Cricetulus griseus: one gene and its partner. The protein of the gene in region 1 interacts with the protein of each later gene in a pairwise test. Links are inferred from orthologs where the notes say so. Each region holds a gene or a part of one and is shown on either strand. Other genes may lie near its edges.

Region 1 (6,250 bases):
TTTCAGAACAAGAGGAGAGCTGGGTGCTTGATACAGAAGGAGCAGCATGCATGGGTTCCCCAGGCCAGCCAGGAGGCCATGAGGGCTGCTGGAGGACTTGGTGGGGTCCCTGTCCTCCACCTTGCAGCTACAGGCAGGTCCAGGGTGCTGCTGCCTGTCACCTGGGTGCTGTGGCTGGAATGGGAAGCCCCAACTCCAGACATTTCCAAACAGCTCTCTCAGCAGCATCCATAGCAGACACCCCGCTCTTTGTGGGGACTCAGGGCCTCAAGGTCCCTGCCTGCCTGCAAAACATATGAGATCTCTTGCAGGCTGGCCTCTGTGGAGAGGAAGTGGTGTGAGCCTCACCTACCACACCAGAAAATGGCCCTGGGCCCTGAGAGTGCTGAGTTCCGGGTGCATCTCTTATTGGATTTCTACCAAGAGGATTTAAAAACACAAGAGGCAGGGCAGGCTGCTCAGAGAGCATCCACCTTATACAGAAACATGCTTAATGCAGTCAATGAAACTAAACAGCAGTTTGAACTCATCAAAAATATTTCCTCTAGGAACATAGAACACAAATACCAGAGTCAGCATGGCCTGGGAAAGAGTACCTGTGTACAGTTCCCACAGGTCTCAAGACACAACACTCAAAATATCAAAGCTTTACAGTACCATGCAGGGTAAACACGGGAGAAGACAGGGAGGGAAAAAAATCAAACCAGTGGACAGCACCATCTTGGCCTGCCATGTTTTCCTCGTATAATTTACGATGCTGTACAATATTGGGAGCTCAAACACTCACCCACAGTGCAGTCAGAGAGCAATTAGTGATTTCCTTACAAACAATAAATATGGCTCGCCTTGTGCCCATTCCCCTGGTGAACCCCCTTTGTGGCACCTGTGCTCAAACTAGAGGCACAGGTGTGGTGGGGAAGACACCTACACGGAAAGCAGACCCATGACCTGGGGTGCACAGGTCCCCCAACACTCATGTGCCAAAGACCTGTGGCAGTGCAGCCACCTCGACGGGACGCCCAGCACAGGGCACTTGTAGTGCATGAGCAGTGCCGCAAGGGCTGCAGAGGGAGCTGGCTTCCTGGCCTGGTGGCTCGGCTCCCCGTCATTCCTGAGCCTTTCACTGTCTGGTGCAGCCACCAAGGAGTTGATGTTGTTGCTCAGGCGGATGCGCAGGAACGCTGCTTGGGCTGGGAGAGTGTCCACAGCCGTCTAATCCTTCTCTCCATCCTCACTGCTGCCTATTTCCCAGACAGAAGCAACATGACAAAGAGGGTCAGTTTTAAGAACTGAATACCCAGATACTAACAGCACAGAGATGACCAGACCAGAACAGTAGGAAAAGGAACTGCAGCTGGTATCTGGCTGCTTCATGCCTTCCCGTGCTGCCCTGTCCGTCTCTCCATGCCACAGCCTGCAGGCTTCTGCACACACAGCTGCTTGGCTCCCACAGTGGCTCCATGGCCACACTCAGGAGCACTGAAGTAAACCAGCCTGACCCGTACACCTGCCCCCAGAGATCCTTAGGCACAGGCACTATCTCACCGGCACAGGTGAAAACTATGTAAACAAATAAAAGCACTTTATATCCTACATTTATTATTTGATCTGTAAACTTCAAATAAAAAATGTACCTATTAACATTTATCTTCCGATCTTGGTATAGGGAAAGGGGCCCATATGTTCAGGTATTGCTACTTCAAATTGGCCCCTGCTGTGAGCTCCCAGCTGGCCCTCTGGTATCGCATGGAGACCAAGACTTAATGGCAAAATCAACACTGCCAGGGAAGAGACAGAGAGCCTGGGCTCCAATCCAAACCACAGGTCAAGTGTGCCTAGAGCAGGTGCCTGTGCAGGGAGCTCCTCTGGGAGAGAAGTGTGACCTGAGGAAGCAGGACTGGCAGCAAGGGGACAGAAAACAGAGCCCTCTCCAGGACCTCCAAGATCTCTGGGGCTGGGCCAGCAGGGTTATACAGAAATGAGCATTGGGGGTGATTCTAAATGGGGGAAGTGTGGTTGTATATGCACTGTCAAGCTTGTGAGAGATACGCCAGGCCTGTTATCTCACCTACATGGGAATCTGAGGCAGAAATATTGAAAGTTCAAGGCCAAACTAGATACAAGATTGGCAGAGCAACTTGGTGAGACTTTGTCTCAAAAACAAAACCAAGAGTAAGAAGTGACCTGGGGATGAAGTTTAGTGGTAAAGCAGTAAGGGGCTGGGGTGTGGCTCAATGGTAGAGCCCCTTCCTAGAATCCCCCAGTGAGGGGGCTAGGGTGTAACTCAGTGGTAGAGCACCTGTCTAGAATAACCTAGTGAGGGGATGTACCTCAAAGGTAGAACAATGTGCTAAGTATACCCAAGGAACCACCCCCACCACAAAAAGAATTTTCAAGCAAATTTATAATCTACTCAGGAAAGACTAAAATAGCATCAGATCACCATTCCTTTGGGTCTAGGGTAGATGAGCACTCCTGGCTGAAAGCACCATCCCTCTGGCGTGGCCCCACCCCCAGCACATGAAGGGCCCCTCTCACCTCCTTGTTCAATGTCTGAGTCCGTGAGGTGTGTGAGAGAGAAGCTGGCAATGTTGGCAGGAGAGATGGAGAACCTGGAGCAGGGAGACACGTGTGGCCAGCTCTGCTCTGCACTCCTTGCCGGTGGTGGGGGAGAAAAGTATTTGGAGCTTTGAAGAGAAGGCTTAGAGCCCAGAAGACTTGTTGTTTTGGACATGAAAGGATCAGGGGAGAAGTCATCATCCCATTCAAAGCCTCCACCTGCAGTAAGAGCATCACCCTGTTATCACTTTACGCAATCAACTCACGATAAGGAGAGGGAGCCCAGGGCATTCAGACACAAGCCGCCAACAGATGGCAGAGCAGAGACACAGGGGAAGTCATTTAAAAACAAATCATGATCCTTTCCAACAATGTTAGTGTTAGTCAGGTGTAGTGGCACACATCTTTAATCCCAGAACTTGGGAGGCAAAGATAGGGGAACCTCTCTTATGTTCCAGGCCAGCCTGGTCTACAGAGTGAGACTCTGTCAACAAAACAAAACAAAACAAAACAAAACAAAACAAAACCTCACCCCCACGAATAATGTTCCTTTCCACTGCCTTTGCAGCTGATCAACACAGCACAATCAAATACCTTCTTCATCTGTGGAGCTCTCCGAATTCATGCACCTGCCCAGGTAGGGTGAGCCTGAGGATGCTGTTGGGCTGCTGGGCCCAGGACCATGCGCTTCTCCTCCGCAGTGCCCCAGCTCTTTGGTGGGAGTTTCCTGAAAAGCCAAACAAAATTCTAGTTTTTAGAGCCCAAATATCTGACCCCACCCAGGCTCATCGCATGAGGTGAACTAAAGAGTTATCTACTTTATGTGAGGAAGAAAGCATCAGGCCCTCAGGATTTGGAGTTACAGATGATTATGAGGTGGGAACCCAGGTCCTATGCAAAGGCAGCCCTGTTCTTAACCCATGAGCCATCTCTCCAGCACCCTTATGACACAGCCTCACTATGTAGACCAGACTGGTCTCAAACTCTAGCTATCTATCTGCCCCTTAGCTTCCAGATGGTTGGGATTAAAGGTGTGCATTAAAGACCAGTTCTTTCCAGCCCCTTTTCTTTTCTTTCCTTCCTCCCCTTTCTCTCTTTCCTTTCTCTCCCCACCCCCCCCTCTCCAAAATAAGGTTTCTCTATGTAGTCCTGGCTGTTCTGGAACTCATTCTGTAGACCAGGCTGGCCTGAAGTCACAGAGATCCACCTGCCTCTGCCTCCTGAGTGCTGGGATTAAATGTGTTGCTGCCACCACTTGGCTTCTTTCTTCATTTTTAAAGACAATATCTCACTCTGTAACCCAGAGAGGTCTCAAAATTGCTATCTAGCTCACACTGGCATTAATCTCTTGATCCTTTCAGCCTCCTGAATCATGGGATTACAGGCCCGTGCCACTATGTATGACAAAGTCCTGCCATATATGGTCCCTTGAATGCGGCTCTAGCATCTGCAGAAGTTGTGTGAGACAGTCCTGAAACCTCTGAAAAGAAAATGAACAAGCAGCAGGGAAGCGCCCCAGACTCCAAAGTGGCACCAAACTGACACTGCTCGGCAGACACATTGCCTTTGGAATGCCCTGGCTTGGACAGGGTTGCCGGAGAAGACTTTGGTTCTGGATCTAGGAAAAGAAGGGATCTTCTAATCCTCAGAGCAGGATAACCCCAAGGTTCCTTTCTCTCCTTGTCTCTGTTCTGTTCCTGTCACCCCATACCCATGTAGTCTGATGGTTGGTTCTGAAGAGTACCCCTGATGTTTTATGATTTCTTTCCTTGTGTGGCAGACTTGGACACCACCAAGGACAATTCAAAAAAGCAACCAGTGTTGAGGAGTTTCTGGTTCTGTCCTTGAGTTGACCCCAAACAGTACACCAATGGACTGTGGGGGATGCAGGGTTGCCACCAAGCTCTAGCCTGGCCAGTGGGTACATCCAGGCCACAGACTGGAAAGAGGAACTAACTAGTACTAATACCGAAGCTCATAGGAGGTTGGCTGGAGCGTGTGGCCTGAAGCCAGCTGTGAAGGCCTAAGACAAACATAGCAGCACTCTGCACCACCCTGAAAAGACAGATGCCCCATAGCATGATGGGAAGACACAAAATCTACAGTGACCCAGCCTTCAAGTAGCCAGGACAACCTCACTGCACAGCAGAAATTGTCCACACAGGTGCCAAAGGTCATAAGCACTGGGATTATGTGAAAAAAGTTTAAACAGTGGGACCAAATACTGACAGCAAAGAGATGTCAACTCAGAATCTATGCTCTGAGAAAGTATCTTCCAGGAGTAAGTATGCGATGAAGCTTGTCAGTGGTTTAGGAGAAAAGGGAGCTGAGAAAAGCTGAATGAACTTCTCTAAGTCTGTCAAGACAACAGATAGGAACCGGAAGCACCTGCGCTGAAGACAGAACAAAAGCAGACAGGACCTTAGGTTGAATAGAAAACCATTTGCCTTGAGTTGTTTTCTTTCTTTTTACAAAAATTATCATATTGCTTTTGTATACTTATTTATTTCCTCTCTGGAGGGTATGGGATATGCCATGGCAACATGTGGAGGTCAGGACAATTTGTGGGAGTCAGTTCTCTCCTTCTCTATGTAGGTCCCAGACGATGAACTTGGGTTGCTGGGCTTGGGCGCAAGCACTTTTCACAACTGAGCTATCTTGCTAGCCTCTGAGTGCACGCCACCCACTGTGTGTGGGCATGGGCATGTGCTCGTGGACATGAGTGTGTGCTAAGGCAGGGTTTCATGTAACCCAGGCTGGCCTCCAGCTAGCTATGTAGCCAAGGATAACTTTGAGCTTCTAATCCTCCTGTCTCCACTCCTGAGTGCTGGGCTTACAGCTTGTGTACCACCATGCCCATTTTATGGGGTGCTGGTATTTATGCATGCTAGGTAAACAGTCTACCAACTAAGCTTCACCCCTAGCTCATGCTTGTGAATTTCTTAAAATGTTTGATGATTGAAAGTAAAACACATTGCACTATTTTTTCTTTCTTTTTTTTTCTTTTTTTGGTCATGGTGGCCAAGGCTTCATACATGCTAAGCAAGTGTTCTACCACTGTGCTACATCCCCAGGTCCTGATGAGGCTTTTCAATGGATGTGGATATAAATAACACAACAACGTCAGGCAGGAGGGACCCAGTACCCAGAAGGAAATGCTGATTCCAAGCTGACCCAAAAGGTAGTATACGTGATGAAATCCCTGAACTGCCCCAATGTGTAACAGAAAGGACACACTAACACCCACCACAGAGAAACACACAACTGACAACAGTATTCCTAAGGAAGGAAGCAAACTGAATCAGAAGAGCAGAATCAAACAGCACACCTAAATCTAAGCACACTATTGAAAACTGACTTTCAGGAGGGGTTAGGTCCTGGGAAGATGGTTAGGTCCATAAAGTGCCTGACACATAGGCAGAGGGATGTGAGTTTAGAGCCTGGGCTGCCGTATTTGCCAGGCATGGCAGCAAACACCTATAATCTTAACAATCATCTCACAGGCCCCTATAATTGAATTAGCCTTCAAGTCCATACCACAAAGATACAAGGAAATTTCCAATTGGAGCCACCCAGTTGGCTCTGTAGGCAAAGGTGCCTGCTGCCAAGGCTGACAGCCTGGAGCTCTCCCTGGAGCTCACAAAGTAGAAGGAGAGAACCAACTCTTCCAAGTTGTCCTCTGACCTCCACA
Region 2 (6,250 bases), about 110 Mb from region 1:
TTTATTAACATTGGCTCAGTGATCAAAGTTTCTACGGCTACACTAAAGGTAATTTTAAGGCTAGTATTACAAAACCTTATAAATTTCCAACTGGGTTTAAATAAGATTTTAAACAACTGTCCTTTTACCTACTGAATTACATGCCTTCTCATATACTATTATGCATGTTGAGAATCACTTATCTCATGTATTTTGAAAAAGTGATTCAGATTGCAGAGTTGCTTACATTTCAGAGTATTTGCATAAAGTTTCATTTTCCTGGTGAGCTCACAAATTCAAAACTACAAAGACCCAGACTTCACAGTATTTGAGATTTGGGGTTTTCATATTAGAGATACTGAACTCATGATAGACTTACAAATAAATCTCAACAGAGAGGTCGTCAGCAAGACTATAAGTCTAACACATCATCTGGTTACATCTCAGGTATCCATGGTGTCGAAGGGGAATCAATACCTTGGCCCCTTCTGGATAGTAGATACCTAAGTTTGCGAACCTTTTAAAACAGCATCACACTTGTACATGATCTGCAAACACACAGCCTGTCAAATACTTCGAATTATGTGGAAATTATTTATAATCCTTACTACAATGTAAACATTCTGCGAAGGAATATTATTCCTTGCTATTTAGTAAAAATAATACAGAACTAATACATGCTCAGTATAGATGTATTCTTTCTTATCCCCAATATTTTCAATTCATGATTAATTAAGCCTGAGATATAAAATCTGCAGATTCAGAAAGCCCACCATACTTCATTTAATGTTAGTTATATACAAATACATCTAGGTATCAAAATGCAGTGAGTTTTAGCACTGAGAGAGTAAACAATTTGCAAACCTCGTATAAAATGTGTTTTCCTTCAACCTACCCGAAAATTATCTGGAGAACTCAAGTGAAGCTTCTCCCTAATGTCTTCTGAAGCCCCAGCACACAACCTGTAAAAAATATGGTAATTCCGCTCCTCTTTGCCTTGAACACAGATCCTAGACTTCTCTAGGAGATAATGAGAAACGAATCCTCCAACAACTGAACTCTAAAAGACAAAACAGAAAATACATTTTTTGCATCTATGGAACTGAAATATAACTTAATGTTAATTCAATCTTTTCTAATAATCATTTGCTTAGCAAAGAAGTCAAAAAATTTATCAAATATTACAAAAAAAAAACTAAATGTAAGCTCAGAGTATTTCTACAGCTCATCCTTCATTTTAAACACTGTTATCATCCGGTCTCCACCCTGATCCCTTCTAGCTTTTGAGCCTCTGCAGAATCAGAACTGACTTTGTGGTCGGCCCAGTGTCCCCAGCAGCCCACTGGGCAGCTGCTGAAGAGCTGTCAGACTGCCATCAAACTCACCTCATGCTGAGAAGACACTAACTGCTCTGATGTGATCCTCACAGACTATACAGATCCACAGATATACACATCACTATGTACCATGCTGTGCCCGTGAACATGAACATTATTACATGTTATCAAAACAATGAAAGAATCAAGTATGAGAAAAAATTAACTACAACGCTATGATTGATAACGCAGTCAACTCCAATATTTTAATTTAAACTGAATAGAAATTCTGAAGTCACTGTAAATGCACACAAGCACACACACCATAATAATTACAATAATAATCATAGTAATAATCTTAGGAAGAACTGTGCTAATTCCAATTCTAATAAGACCCTTACACTTACCACAAACACTCCCCTAATGTATCCCAAAAGCAGCTTTCTTTTACCTTTTCATTGAAGTGAATTTCCACAAATTTTCCAAATCGACTGCTATTATTGTTACGAACAGTCTTTGCATTTCCAAAGGCTTCTAAAAGAGGGTTAGCTGTTGAAAAAGAAATGAAAATGCTTCACCAGAAAAATCACGAGAAAGGCATGAAGAGAAATTATAAAGCAATATACATATTACATCTCCACAGGGGAAAATTCGGGGAAAGTGATGGAATAGATGCTTTTAGAAATATTAGTATGGAAGAATTATCCAGCAATGTCAAATTCCACAAGTGTGAAATGTTAACCCGCTGTCATGGTTTTATTTTTGATTGACAAGTGGACAAGGTCTAACGTCATCTATGAGACTAGCCTCTGGCACAGAGAAAGACAATAGGTTAATAGATCAGCATGAAAGTAATATCTGAGCAAATATTTATAGGAGGTAGAAAGTCTCTTCCACCTCTGAAAGAAAAGCATTGTAGGTCTCAGATAAGATTCTTCTAAGTTAACTTTAGAGGTACCCAACATTAAAAAATAAAAATCAACAATACCTTCAACAATTCTATCATCAATATCTTGACCAGTTCCATAAGATTCTGTCAGGTATCTGTTTAAAATATAGAATTTTAAAAAACTGAATAATATTCAGGACAATATATTTATAAATTTACTATTTAACATATATATCAAACTGAAACATGGAACATGGATCATCATTGTAACTGTTTAGTATTGTTTTTAAATTTTTTTATATTTTTATTTATGCTTCTGTATGTGTCTTGTGTGGGTATGTGCAGGTCATGGAATTATATGTTTGGAAATACTCTGATTTTTAACAAATTTTCAACTAGATTTACATAAGTATCCCATTAACTATTTAACTTAATAACTCTATACACTTCCATAAGAAATAGAAACCTTCATAAAGAACCCCACCATGAAAAAACTAAGAACTGTAATAAATTAGAAACAATACTGATAATAATTCAGAATGTGCTGGTCCTAGCAGTATCTTCACCACTGGATTTAACTTCCTTTGGTATGTGTGATGATTGGCATTGATCATCAACTCCATAGGACCTAGAATGACCTAGAAGACAGGTCTATGGCCACGTCTGTGAGGGATTGATATTTGTTAGATAACTGAGGTGGGAAGACCCACCCTTAGCATGAGTGACAGCATGCCATGTACTGGGATCCCAGACCATGTGGAGAAGGTCTAACAGGCTAAGGACAGCACTCACTCATCCCTCTCTACTCCCTGACTGTGGGTGGCTTCAATGTGACCAACTCCTGCCAGCACGCCTTCTCCACCATGGTGTGTTTGAACCCTTGAACCATGAGTCAAGATGAACTCTTCCTCTCTTGATTCCTTCTTGTCTGATATTTTGTCACAGCAATGAGACAATTTACAGAATTTAAATTAAAGAATAAGACTATAGTCATGTGGCAATGCTCCTTCCACTTTAAAAAGGTTGTGGCTATACACCACGTGTTGAGAGTTTTGTATAATGGTAGAAAGGGGATCTGATGAGAGAGGGATAAGAGGAAGTCTAAATAAAAAGTAGTTTCAAATATATTTCAAAGCACCAACATTGAGAATACAATGGAGATCCATAGCCAAGCGCCAGGCCAAGCTCTGGAAATCCAATCAAAGAGAGGGAGGAGGGATTATATGAGCAAAAGGGGTCAAGAATGAGACAGGGGAACCCACAGAGACAACTCACTTAACTTCTGGGAGCTCACTGACTTTAGACTAACAGCTGGGAACCTGCATGGGACTGAACTAGGCCCTCTGCATGTGGGCGACAGTTTGGTAGCCTGGTCTGTTTGTGGGACTCCTGTCAGTGGGACCAGGATCTATCCCTGGTACATGAGCTGGCTTTTTGGATGGAATGCCTTACTCAACCTCGATGAAGGGGGGATGGTTTTTGTCCTGCATCAACTCAATGTACCAGGCTTTGTTGACTCTTCACAGGAGGCCTTACCCTTTTTCTGAGGAGTGGATGTGGGGTAGGTTGGGGGGACATAAGGAGAGGAGAGGGATGAGGGGAGAGAAGGTGAACTGTGGTTTGTATGTAAAATGAATAAAAATTTTAATTAAAGAAAGACAATAGAATGTCCATTTGGATTTTGAAAGAATATTCCTGGGTTTGTCACTGCCTATCAAGCACTAACTTCATATAGAATCCTCCAAGAAACAACACATCAGAGCCAGCTATCTACAACAGAGAGATTGACTTCCACGCTTCTTTCTTCCAAACTATTCCATACAGTATACAACAGTATTAAAAGTCAATCTGCTTAAATACCCTGTGATTACCCCTACACACACACACACACACACACACACACACACACACACACACTCAAAACTGCACTATTCACAATGGCCAAATAACAGAAACAACCCAACTGCCTATCAATACATGTACAAATACAGCAAATAAAATAAATTCCTGCAATGAAATTTATTCAGCCCTAAAATTCAGGAAGGAAATTCTAATGCATACTATAACATACTATAACACTAGTGATTATATCTTTTTAAGAGTCAGGGTCTTATAAAGTTTTTTAGGCTCCTATGCCCTTGAAACGAAAGTTATCTTCCTGACTCAATCTCCTAAGAAGCTGAGGGTGTGTGTGTGTGTGTGTGTGTGTGTGTGAATTGTGTGTGTACACACATAGGTGCATGTCACTATAACCAGCTCAAACGTGAGTGAATCCCATATTAAACTAAATGAAACAAAGAAGTCACTGAAAGACTAATACTATATGATGCTGCTTAAATAGGTACTCAGAGAAACTCATAGAAACCCAAACAGGAAGTAATATCTTATTTATGTACTATTTAATGAGTACAGCATCTGAAGGAGTAATAGTTTATTCATGTGCTTTGTACAGTTCTGGGTTTTGTGAGGTGAGGAATAGAAACAACGCAATGACATGAATGTGACGATGTGAGTGTGCTTAGCATTGCTGAACTTCAAAGTGGGCAGTCGACAAACTTAGTGGTAAAGCTTTCTTTTACTACTGCTCAGAACATTTCAGATCAGCTAAATACTCACCTTAGAACAAACTTTGTATTTTCTGTTTTGCCAGCTCCCGATTCTCCAGACACAATGATAGACTGACTCATCTTGAGCACCTTCATGTCTCGAAAAGCCTTGTCAGCTGGAGGCAAAGTAAGACAGTAATACAGCAAGCTGAGTCACTGACAAGAGTTTAGTGTAAGGGTCTTTACTCCTAAAGAAGTCATGAATGTGTGTTAAAAGTCATCCAAAGGTTTCTGTAAGCATTCACTTGCAATGTTCCTAAAAGACAAGTAATAGGAAATCCGAACATCTCAAGATTGTGCTAGAGTGTTAGATTGTCTCCACATTGACTTTGGCTCAGCTTGCCCAAATGCCAGAGCAGATCTGCAGAGGGAAAGAAAATGTTCAGTGTGCATAACTAATGAGGTCCCCAGTGAAAAACAAGAAGCAATGAGTTTCCAATGAGAAATTTGGCAACTGAATCCATTGTGAGAGAGAAAAACAACTGAAAAATAAATCTACAGAAATTATTTCCAGCTCCATCCACTTGCCTGTAAATCTTAGAGTTGCATTTTTGCTAAAGCTGAGTGAGGAAACCAAACACACAAAGATAAACATCACATGTTTTCTCTCACTTGTGAGTGTTAGCCTTGAATCTTCAGATGTGTGTGTGTGTGTGTGTGTGTCATTTGGAATAACCATAGAAGTCAAGACATAAGTAGGGGACCATTAGGAAGTGGGGCTTTCAGGGGAGGGGGAATAGGATGCAGTAACATAAAGGGGAATAATGGAACAACAATGGTTAAATGGGGTAGGAATGGGAAAGCAGAATAAAAGAGGGAGGGGAAAAGGGTGAGGAACAGAAGGGCAGGATAAAGGAGGAAATATGGGGAGAGATAACTCATGCTAAAGACTTCCTAAAAGCAGTCATGAAAATCTACTGCTGCAGAAGCTTCCTAAAATATAAACAGACCCTCTAATGGAACAACAATGTCCCCACACTCAGAAAGACAGATATCCTACATTTTCTCTCATGTAACTTGAAAGCAGAAGGGAGACTAACTTGTGAAGAGGAGGGTCCAGCAAGAAAGAACAGAGGGACAACAGAGGATAAAGAGGAGGATATGAGAAAAATGCATGACATAATTTCCTATGAAAATGTCATCATGAACTCATTTTTGCACAGCAAACACAAGCTTTAATAACTCATAAACAATATCTCACCACAAAAAAACATTTAAAAAAAATAGTTGCAAAGCAATTTGTCTCAAGAAGACATGTGCTATACATACAAAAAAAATAGCTTTACAAATGACAAATGGCTTTGGCTCTAAGAATAAGCTACAAACAATATTGCATGGGTATTCCCACCAGCCCACTGTGATGCAAAGTGATACTGCTGGAAGGCAGAGGAGCCTTTGGGAAGGAGGACCCAGTAAGAGGCCCTTGGGTGACTGGATACACACTCTGACAAGGTGGTTTC

Evidence for each region.
Region 2: the proteins of Lmtk2 (region 1) and Myo6 interact in a two-hybrid assay, tested with the Homo sapiens proteins (2 studies listed by BioGRID). The link is inferred for Cricetulus griseus from reciprocal best matches to the Homo sapiens genes LMTK2 and MYO6.

What each region holds. Positions count from the first base shown.
Region 1 is NC_048597.1:80,615,579-80,621,828, reverse strand, and holds part of Lmtk2 (serine/threonine-protein kinase LMTK2), read right to left. Parts: intron 3,287-6,250; coding exon 3,154-3,286; intron 2,779-3,153; coding exon 2,539-2,778; intron 1,242-2,538; coding exon 1,213-1,241; 3' UTR 1-1,212. UniProt on the Homo sapiens protein: Phosphorylates PPP1C, phosphorylase b and CFTR.
Region 2 is NC_048597.1:191,155,606-191,161,855, reverse strand, and holds part of Myo6 (unconventional myosin-VI), read right to left. Parts: intron 4,907-6,250; coding exon 4,801-4,906; intron 2,340-4,800; coding exon 2,284-2,339; intron 1,845-2,283; coding exon 1,747-1,844; intron 1,040-1,746; coding exon 875-1,039; intron 1-874. UniProt on the Homo sapiens protein: Myosins are actin-based motor molecules with ATPase activity. Unconventional myosins serve in intracellular movements. Myosin 6 is a reverse-direction motor protein that moves towards the minus-end of actin filaments.